Yarrowia lipolytica: one gene and its partner. The protein of the gene in region 1 purifies or fractionates together with the protein of each later gene. This does not show direct contact. Links are inferred from orthologs where the notes say so. Each region holds a gene or a part of one and is shown in the gene's direction. Other genes may lie near its edges.

Region 1 (5,323 bases):
TTTTTCAAGTCTCTTGGCCTCCTTCTCTTCAGCCAACTTAGCCTTCTCCTCTGCAATCTTGGCTCGCTCAAGCTCCTTCTCTTCGGCAGCCTTCTTTCGTTCCTCTTCTCGTCGTCGTTTCTCCTCCTCTTTCCCTTTCTTCCTCCTCTTTAGCCCCCTCTTCTCCTCCTCCTTCTGTTTCCTCAGTTGTTCCTTCTCCTCCTCTTTCTGCTTTCTCAGTAGCTCTTTCTCTTCTTCCTTCTGTCTTCGAAGCTGCTCTCGCTCTTCCTCTTTCTGCTTCTTGATCTGTTCCTTTTCAAGTCGCATCTTTTCTTTCTCCTCGGCAGAGATCTTTCGACGCTTGGGTGACGGTTCGGGCGTGGTAATCGTGCACAGAGGCTTGTTGTCGGCCATTACAGGCTTGTCACATCCTGCATTCTGCTCACTTGCGCTCATGAGTCGAATTGGAGAGCTGTCCATGGTGTTGTGGAGGAAAGAAGGAGGTTACAAGGCCCAGCCTTCACGACGCGTACCCAAGAGCTTAATTGAAATGATTTGGGAGACGCGTCCAGAAGTGGTAATTAGTTGAACGCGGAAGTCGTGAGCGTGTCACGTTACCAAATATAATTCAATTGCAACTAATAGGTCACGAGATATTTTTCGTCACGTGTCTGTTCAACTATCTCTAATCTCTCACTGACTCTGTGCATCTCTCTTATTCATAGTGTACATGCTGTGCGAGTCGCTAAAAATACTTGTCATAACCTGAACCTATTAATAGTCCCAACTCCGACGCCAACCTGACCTCCACAATTACACACCACAAACAGAACCCACTGTTTCTCGCTATAAACAGTCGATCAGGTCTACGAAGGTGGTGGAAAGAAACGTCTGGTGGCGAGACTGCGATCCAAACACCCACCGAAACAGTCCAGGCCCTGGAAATGCAAGGTCCACATTTTCACGGGAGTATGCTGATTCCAACATTTGACTGAATTGTCAGATCATGTAAATAATTGTGGTTGTTGGTTGCTGGGAGCCGCAACCTACAAGGTGAGTACAAGTACTTTCATTAGGATGCTTGTTTTAAATACAGTAGCTAGCCTACGTCTTCTGTTGTGACTCGAATAGCCTGTTTTGACAATCTGGCGAGTCGCCACTGAAAACCTCAACACAGCACCTACGGAAATAATCGCAGTTTACGGTAAGCAACGTAATGAGATTGTAGTACATTATTTATATAGATCGAAAGCTACAGGCACCCTTATTTTTAATGCTGTTATTCTTCTCTCTGTAAGTCCCCTCCTCGTCTTAGCAGCGACACTGAAATCGATTTCTTCCATCAGTATTCCAGACCTTTGCAACCTAATTATGCATCACCAGGAGTGTTCAAAAGACAGATAAGAAATCATTCTCGACCGCCACGAGCCCATCAAGCATAAGTTAGCCACACGATCGTAGAATCCTATCACGTGATCAGTCCTCCACTCATTATAAATATTACTAATCTTCGTCTTGCCACCTCACGGGTTTCTCCCTTACCCTATTCCCCGCATCGAGGAAGATGTCGGTTATTGACGCTCTAACAACTCTCCAGAAACCCACAGACGGAAATCCTGACTACGAAAACTGTCCACGTGATCACTCATGGCACGTGATCACTCATGGTACATGGTATCAATCCATATTTGTTTTCCTGTAATGTGACCACCGCCTCGTCGCTACCTTCCCCCAACTATTATAAATCATTTAGAGTTGTTCACTCTTTTATCTAAAATCGAGACTTGCATCGACACTCTCTTCCACCACCATGTTACGTCTAAAGTCGCTCAAAAAACCGGTCCAGGCCGTGGTTCGACGTTTCGCCACCACCTCCGCACCCACTCTCTCTGTCGGCGACAATATCCATGGCTTCAATGTTCTCAGAACCAAAGAGATCCCCGAGTTTGATCTGCAGGCTACCCTGCTAGAGCACTCCACTGGAGCCCAGCATCTGCACATTGCTCGAGATGACTCCAACAACGTCTTTTCCATCGGCTTCAAGACTAATCCTCCCGATCGAACCGGAGTTCCCCATATTCTGGAGCATACAACGTTGTGTGGATCGGAAAAGTACCAAGTCCGAGATCCCTTCTTCAAGATGCTTAACCGATCTCTTGCCAACTTCATGAACGCGATGACCGCCCAGGACTACACCTTTTACCCCTTTGCTACCACCAACGCTACCGACATGAAGAATCTGCGAGATGTGTACCTCGATGCTACCCTGAAGCCTCTGCTTCGAGAGCTGGACTTTTCTCAGGAAGGCTGGAGACTGGAAAACGAGGACTCCAAGGACAAGACCAGTCCCATCATCCTCAAGGGTGTCGTTTTCAACGAGATGAAAGGTCAAATGTCCAATGCTGCTTACGCTTTCTACATTCGGTACCTGGAGAAGATCTACCCCAGTTTGAACAACTCTGGAGGAGACCCTCTTGTTATTCCCGAACTCACCTACGAGGGTCTCAAGAAGTTTCATGCTGATCACTACAACCCCAGCAACGCCAAGACGTTTTCTTATGGAGATATCTCTGTTGCTGACCATTTGGAGGCTCTGAACGCCAAATTTGAGAATTGTGAGATCTCCAAAACTCCCGGAAACACCGAGAGATTGCCTCTCGAATTTTCTTCTGCCGCTGAGAACACCCGTATCGTTGAAGAGGGTCCTATTGACACTCTTCTGGATACGTCTAAGCAGCACAAGATGTCCATGTCGTGGTTGATGGGTTCTCCCAAGGACATTTACGAGTCTTTCTGCGTCAAGATCATCTCTTCTCTACTCATTGACGGTCATTCTTCCCCCCTTCATCAGAAGCTGATTGATTCCGGTCTTGGATCTTCCTACTCTCCCAACACTGGCCTTGACAGTGCTCCTGGAGCTAACATTTTCTCTGTTGGTCTTCAGGGAGTGACCGAGAGCGATCTTACAAAGGTCGAGACTGTTATTCTCGACACCATCAAGACTACCGTTGCTGAGGGCTTCGACAAGGGCCGAATCGACGGTCTTTTGCATCAGACTGAGCTTGCTCGAAAGGACCAGAACGCCAAGTTCGGTATGGCTCTTATGAACGGTGTTCTTCCTGGCTGGTTTAACCAGGTCGACCCCCTGGAGGCTCTGGAGTGGAATTCTGTGCTCGATCGGTTCAACAAAGACATGGAGGCCGACCCTGAGTTCCTGCAGAAGGTGATGAAGAAGTACTTGCTCGACAACAAGTACTTCCACTTTCAGATGAACCCCAATCCCGACTATGAGAAGAATGTGCAGGAAAAGGAGGACGAGATTCTGACCGACAAGCTGGCCAAACTGACTGAATCTGATAAGGAGGAAATCTTCGAGACCGGGGCCAACCTGGAAAAGATGCAGGAAGAGCCTGAGAACCTTGACTGTCTGCCCACTCTTCACGTCTCAGACATCCCCAGAAGCAAGCCTCGAGTTGCCTTGGAGCATACCAAGAATCCCTATCCCATCCAGTGGCGACTTGCCCCCACCAACGGTCTGACTTACTTCCACTCCATCTCTTCTCTAGAGGGTCTTCCCCACGAGTACTACCCCTTCCTTCCTCTGTTCACCTCGTCCCTAACCTTTTTGGGAACCAAGGACAAGACTATGGGCCAACTGGAAGACGAAATCAAACTCAACACTGGTGGTCTTGATTTCTCTGTCTCCTGCTCTTCTTCTCCTCTTTCTCTGCCGTCGTCCCAGCTCAACTTTGCTATGGATGGTGTGGCTTTGGACAAAAATGTGGAGACCATGTTTGGCCTGTTTCAGGAGCTGCTTCGAAACACTGATTTCACCAACGTTGAGAAGCTTAAGACCATGATTGCAGCCTCCACCGCTAACCTGTCCAACGCGTTGGCTCAGTCTGGACACTCGTTCGCCATGCTTCGAGCTGCTTCCGATATTTCCCCTGTCAAGAAGATTGACGACATTCTGGGGGGTGTGGCCCAGGTGCGCTTCCTGTCTGAGCTGGCTGCCAAGTCCGAGCAGCAGCTTGTCGACGAGGTCATCCCCAAGCTCCAGGAGATTGCCAAGTTTGCTCTGACCCGTGAGCAGCGATTTGCCGTCACTTGTGGCCAGGACATGCAGACCAAGAACGACGAGTTGGTGCGAAAGTTCGCTGAGTCCTTCGAGACCAATGAGTCGCCCTTCAATATCTCGTCGTTGTCTATCCCCATGACCACTCCCACAAGCACCTTGTTCAAGTTACCGTTCCAGGTCAACTACGCTGGTATTGCCATCCCCGGAGTGCCCTACACTCATGCTGACGGAGCTCCCCTGCAGGTACTCGCCAACATGCTGACCCACAAGCATCTGCATCGAGAAATCCGAGAAAAGGGAGGCGCTTACGGTGGAGGAGCCTCTTATAACCCCACTGACGGCTTCTTCTCATATTATTCATACCGAGACCCCAACTTGGAACGAACCCTGCAGACCTGCCAGGAGGCTGGAGAGTGGTCTGTCAAGAAGGACTGGAGCTCTTCCGATCTGCAGGAGGCCAAGCTGTCCCTTTTCCAGCGAATCGATGCCCCCATCTCCGTCAAGTCAGAGGGAATGGCTCTCTATGCCAACGGACTTACCTACGAGCAGCGAGAGAAGCGACGACGGCAGCTGCTTGATGTGGCTGTTGATGACGTCAAGCGGGTTGCCAAGCAGTATCTCGTCAACCCCTCCGGGTACTCAGTGGCCGCTCTCGGCCCCGGATACGAAACCATGGACAAAAAGAAGTGGACTGTGCTGGAGTAGTCATGTATATAGTAACGAATGATGATTATATGTATAGATTTAAGGCGGAGACGTATTTCACGTACCCCACCCATAAGAAGGGATGGGAGGGTTACAGGTCAAAAGGGTTAGTCAGCTTATCCTCATGCAAAATTGGTTGATACCAACACATGATAGGGAAAAGAAGAATAAAAAAAGAGACAGCCAGTTGGCTGTACACTCCGATACGGGGAATCGAACCCCGGTCTCCACGGTTCTCAAGATGAGAGCGTGATGTGATAGCCCCTACACTATATCGGAAAGGTGAAACGAGCTGTATTTTGGGTTAGTAAAGATTAGAATAAAAAAAAATGCCTAGAATAATAAAAAGATTGCGAATTTGGACAATATGAATATATGAAGGTCTTCCTTAGTCTTGAATTAATTATGATACAGGCTTTCAGATCCTAACTACTTATATTTGGTCCATGAGTGGGTATTGGAACTATTATCTCCATGAACTGCGAGAAATACTGTATCTGTATGTATGTACGCTTGTACATCTCCTACCTTTTAAATTCTAGTCATGTCTAATAATAAATA
Region 2 (3,727 bases), on another chromosome or scaffold:
ATTGGAAGTGCTGTGCTCGTCCTCATTAATCACTTCCTCTGGTTCTCCCACTTCTCGGACCCTGAGCTTCCCCCGGCGTCTATTCGATACCACAATCTGGACTACGTAGGAGAGACCCGGCTGCCCTTTGCTCAAGTGGCGTCCTACTTTGTCATCTGCATCTGGCTTGTGCCCTTTTCACTCTTCATCTCCCTCAGTGCCTCGGACTACGTTCTGCCCAGCACCAACGAAGTCCAGGGCGGTGAGCAGAAGCGACGAGGCGCCTCGCTGGCCAAAATTGTCGTCGATCCTCTTCGAAACCTCTGGTTCAAGATCGGCGAGATGTTTGGCTACAAGCGGGTGGGTCAGATGCCTATTTAAGGCACTCCCACAACAACAATCAGGAGTTGTAGCAAAGCACACCCGCTCAGACAACCCCACTGGTACTCAAAAAACACTTGCTGTTCTAACAGAAGCCCTATAACGAAAGTATTAGCATAGATTCGTGCGGATTTGCGTAGCCGATATGGCCCAACTGTTGTATTTGTACTTGGCTAAAGCTCAACATTCCCAATCGCCGTTGACGTCAGAAATTTCACCCAGCCAAAAGTTGTGCTAATATTAAGTAGTCATGTTGGGCTACTGTAATTATGTGGGAAATAAATGATCGTTGAATGCACACACTGAAAGTCATTACTGTACTGTACAATGTAAAATGTTACTTGGCGATGTACAATTGGGATACATACAGTAGACACTGCACATAGCGCACATTAGATATACAAGTACAGGCACTTAGGGTCCTGTATCTAATATGTTACTGCCCGCTCCTATCTCAACTTGCTGTCTCAACACCAAGCAGTGCCTCTTGTGTGTATGCATGCACGTCAAAACCGCACACTGTTCAATTGGTGGTTTTTGCTCCCTTCCTACAGACTTGTACATATTTACTGCTGTACACCTGCTCTGTACGTACGTCCAGTCCACGCCCCCGTATAGCTGAAGCTCATAGCTATGTTTGCATCTAGATTATTCCGATAGTAGACACCAACAGGGTAGATCCTCGAGGGACGCACCATGTATTATATTGTGTTCACGTGACATGTGCGTCTTGGTTAGTAATTCCAAGCTCCGATAATCGGACTTCTGAGCGTGTTGAGCTTTACGCTCGTCTTGGACCCCCATTTTTGCTACCGCCAATAGCCACTCACTCTCGTGTACACAGCAGTAGGCTCTCCTCTTTAGTCCTCTGTGTGACGTGGGGGACCAACCTAAATTAGTCCGGGTGGACGTGTCACTAGAACGTTGTAATACCAAGGTAGTTGCGCTTGTTTTGACCAAAAATGTGTGACAAAACATTGCCAGTGTATCCAGTCTGGGAATTGAGTCGTTCTATAACCGTCATTTCCACTCCACTTCCGCGCAACGCGCTGCTGAGCACTCGGAAAATTAGCTCGAAAAGTTTTTCCGGGTTATGTGACCCGCCAGCAGGTTAGGCTCTATTCTGTTGGGAAATAACTCTCAACCGCCCCTCCGAGCTAAATCTCTCACTACAAGACTCTTCATCGACAAACGATATCTGAGATCTTTTTCGGTCCCACAGCAACAAGCCACAAACATGTCTGCCATCAAGCAATTGAACCGTCTGGCCGCCACCGCCAAGACCTCTGTTCTCAAGCCCGCCTCCAAGCAGATTCTGCTGCCCACTGCTGGCCAGCAGGCTGCCATCCGAATGATGGGCCAGACCCGAGCTGCCTCAACCGAAGGCGGCGCCACTAACGTGAGTATTTTTTGTGTGAACGACACGATATATACACGACGGCCGTGCGCTTGCGGCTTCGCGATGCGCCCTGAATGGGGCAACTCGAGCGTTGTGTAACGGGTGTTCATCAACAGCAAACAGTGCTTTTCGGACTTAAGACATGGCAGAAGAAGCAAACACGGTTATAGCGAGAGAGATCACAATGGAGTGACGAGCTTTCAGTGATATTTGCCACCAGTCAAATTTTCAGCAACTCCTGAAACGCACCCATTTTATCATCATTGTGACGCGGACATTCAGCCTCATGCTGTAACTGCACTCCGTGTCTGGAGCTGCCGGAGTTATCAAAGCTGTAGGTGCCAATTGTGAAATAGCGATTCGGCGATTCAGCCGTTGATTGCGTTCCTGCTATGTCGCAATTGTACAATGCTCTGTACACTTCCAACAACATCAACATGACAACACCCAAAACAACGTACTAACCTAGATGACTGTCAGAGACGCCCTCAACACCGCACTGCGAGAGGAGATGGACCGAAACGATAATGTTTTCATCATGGGTGAGGAGGTCGGCCAGTACAACGGTGCCTACAAGGTCACCAAGGGCCTTCTCGACAAGTTCGGCGAGAAGCGAGTGGTTGACACCCCTATCACCGAGATGGGTTTCGCCGGTGTTTGTGTCGGTGCCGCCCTGGCCGGTCTCACCCCCGTCTGCGAGTTCATGACCTGGAACTTCGCCATGCAGGCCATTGATCAGATCATCAATTCCGGTGCCAAGACCTACTACATGTCCGGAGGTACCCAGCAGTGCAATGTCACCTTCCGAGGTCCTAACGGTGCCGCCGCTGGTGTTGCTGCCCAACACTCTCAGGATTTCACCGGGTGGTACGGCCAGATTCCCGGTCTCAAGGTCGTCTCTCCCTACAGCTCTGAGGATGCCAAGGGTCTGCTCAAGGCCGCCATCCGAGACCCCAACGTGACTGTTTTCCTCGAGAACGAGATCATGTACGGAGAGTCTTTCCCCATGTCTGAGGAGGCCATGTCCCCCGACTTCGTTCTGCCCCTTGGAAAGGCCAAGATTGAGCGAGAGGGTAAGGATATCACTCTTGTCGGTCACTCCCGAAACGTCGAGACCGCCCTCAAGGCCGCCGACCTCCTCAAGAAGCACCACAACGTCGATGCCGAGGTCATTAACCTGCGAACTGTCAAGCCTCTCGACACTGAGACCATTTTCAACTCCATCAAGAAGACTAACCGACTTGTCTCTGTCGAGGCTGGCTTCCCCGCCTTTGGCATGGGCTCCGAGCTCTGTGGTGTCGTCAACGACTCCTGGGCCTGGGATTACCTTGATGCCCCCATCCAGCGAGTTACCGGAGCTGAGGTTCCCACTCCTTACGCCATTGAGCTTGAGAACTTCGCCTTCCCCACACCCGAGATTGTTGTCAAGGCTGCCAAGGACGCCCTCTACATTGAGGAGTAGAGCGCTCCAGCTACAACATGTAGGTACATACAGTAATTATTGCACGGATAGGAGCTTATGTAGAGTATGATTAACGTATTTAACGCAATTCAACAAGTGACTGAAGCATATCTAATTATTCGTACAAACATTTATCTTTCATATTTTATTCGTCTAATGTATCTATATACAGCCTCAAACTCTCCAGCTTGAAATAGGGAGCGACTCAAGGAAGCGCATTTTCTTGTAAATCCATCCAAAGAACAGCGTGGCTCCAATGGTGATGCACAGCATCGAGGTGATGTAGTAGCCATCGGTTTGGATGGTGCAGATACCTCCACTCTGCTCACACATGTTCTTGGCCTCCTTGGCCACACATGAGAAGGCAGCGAAGGTCTTGCCAGCCTTGGGTGTACAGGTGGCGGATGTGAACCAGTCGACAGCCTTGAGAACAATAATCTTTGGCCAGAGACCGCCCAGGTTGGAAATTGTGTTAAGGGTGGTCATGTAGGTGCCTCCGATGACAG

Evidence for each region. The genes of interacting proteins can lie anywhere in the genome.
Region 2: the proteins of YALI1_F28537g (region 1) and YALI1_E31947g purify together in Saccharomyces cerevisiae (affinity purification with mass spectrometry; 3 studies listed by BioGRID). This does not show direct contact. The link is inferred for Yarrowia lipolytica from reciprocal best matches to the Saccharomyces cerevisiae genes CYM1 and PDB1.

The regions. Positions count from the first base shown.
Region 1 is NC_090775.1:2,850,234-2,855,556, reverse strand, and holds YALI1_F28537g (uncharacterized protein), read left to right. Parts: upstream 1-1,789; coding exon 1,790-4,762; downstream 4,763-5,323. Other genes in the region: YALI1_F28550g (uncharacterized protein), read right to left, coding at 1-459. UniProt on the Saccharomyces cerevisiae protein: Degrades mitochondrial transit peptides after their cleavage in the intermembrane space or in the matrix, and presequence peptides; clearance of these peptides is required to keep the presequence processing machinery running.
Region 2 is NC_090774.1:3,193,272-3,196,998, reverse strand, and holds YALI1_E31947g (uncharacterized protein), read left to right. Parts: upstream 1-1,597; coding exon 1,598-1,759; intron 1,760-2,228; coding exon 2,229-3,221; downstream 3,222-3,727. Other genes in the region: YALI1_E31974g (uncharacterized protein), read left to right, coding at 1-360; YALI1_E31919g (uncharacterized protein), read right to left, coding at 3,396-3,727. UniProt on the Saccharomyces cerevisiae protein: The pyruvate dehydrogenase complex catalyzes the overall conversion of pyruvate to acetyl-CoA and CO(2).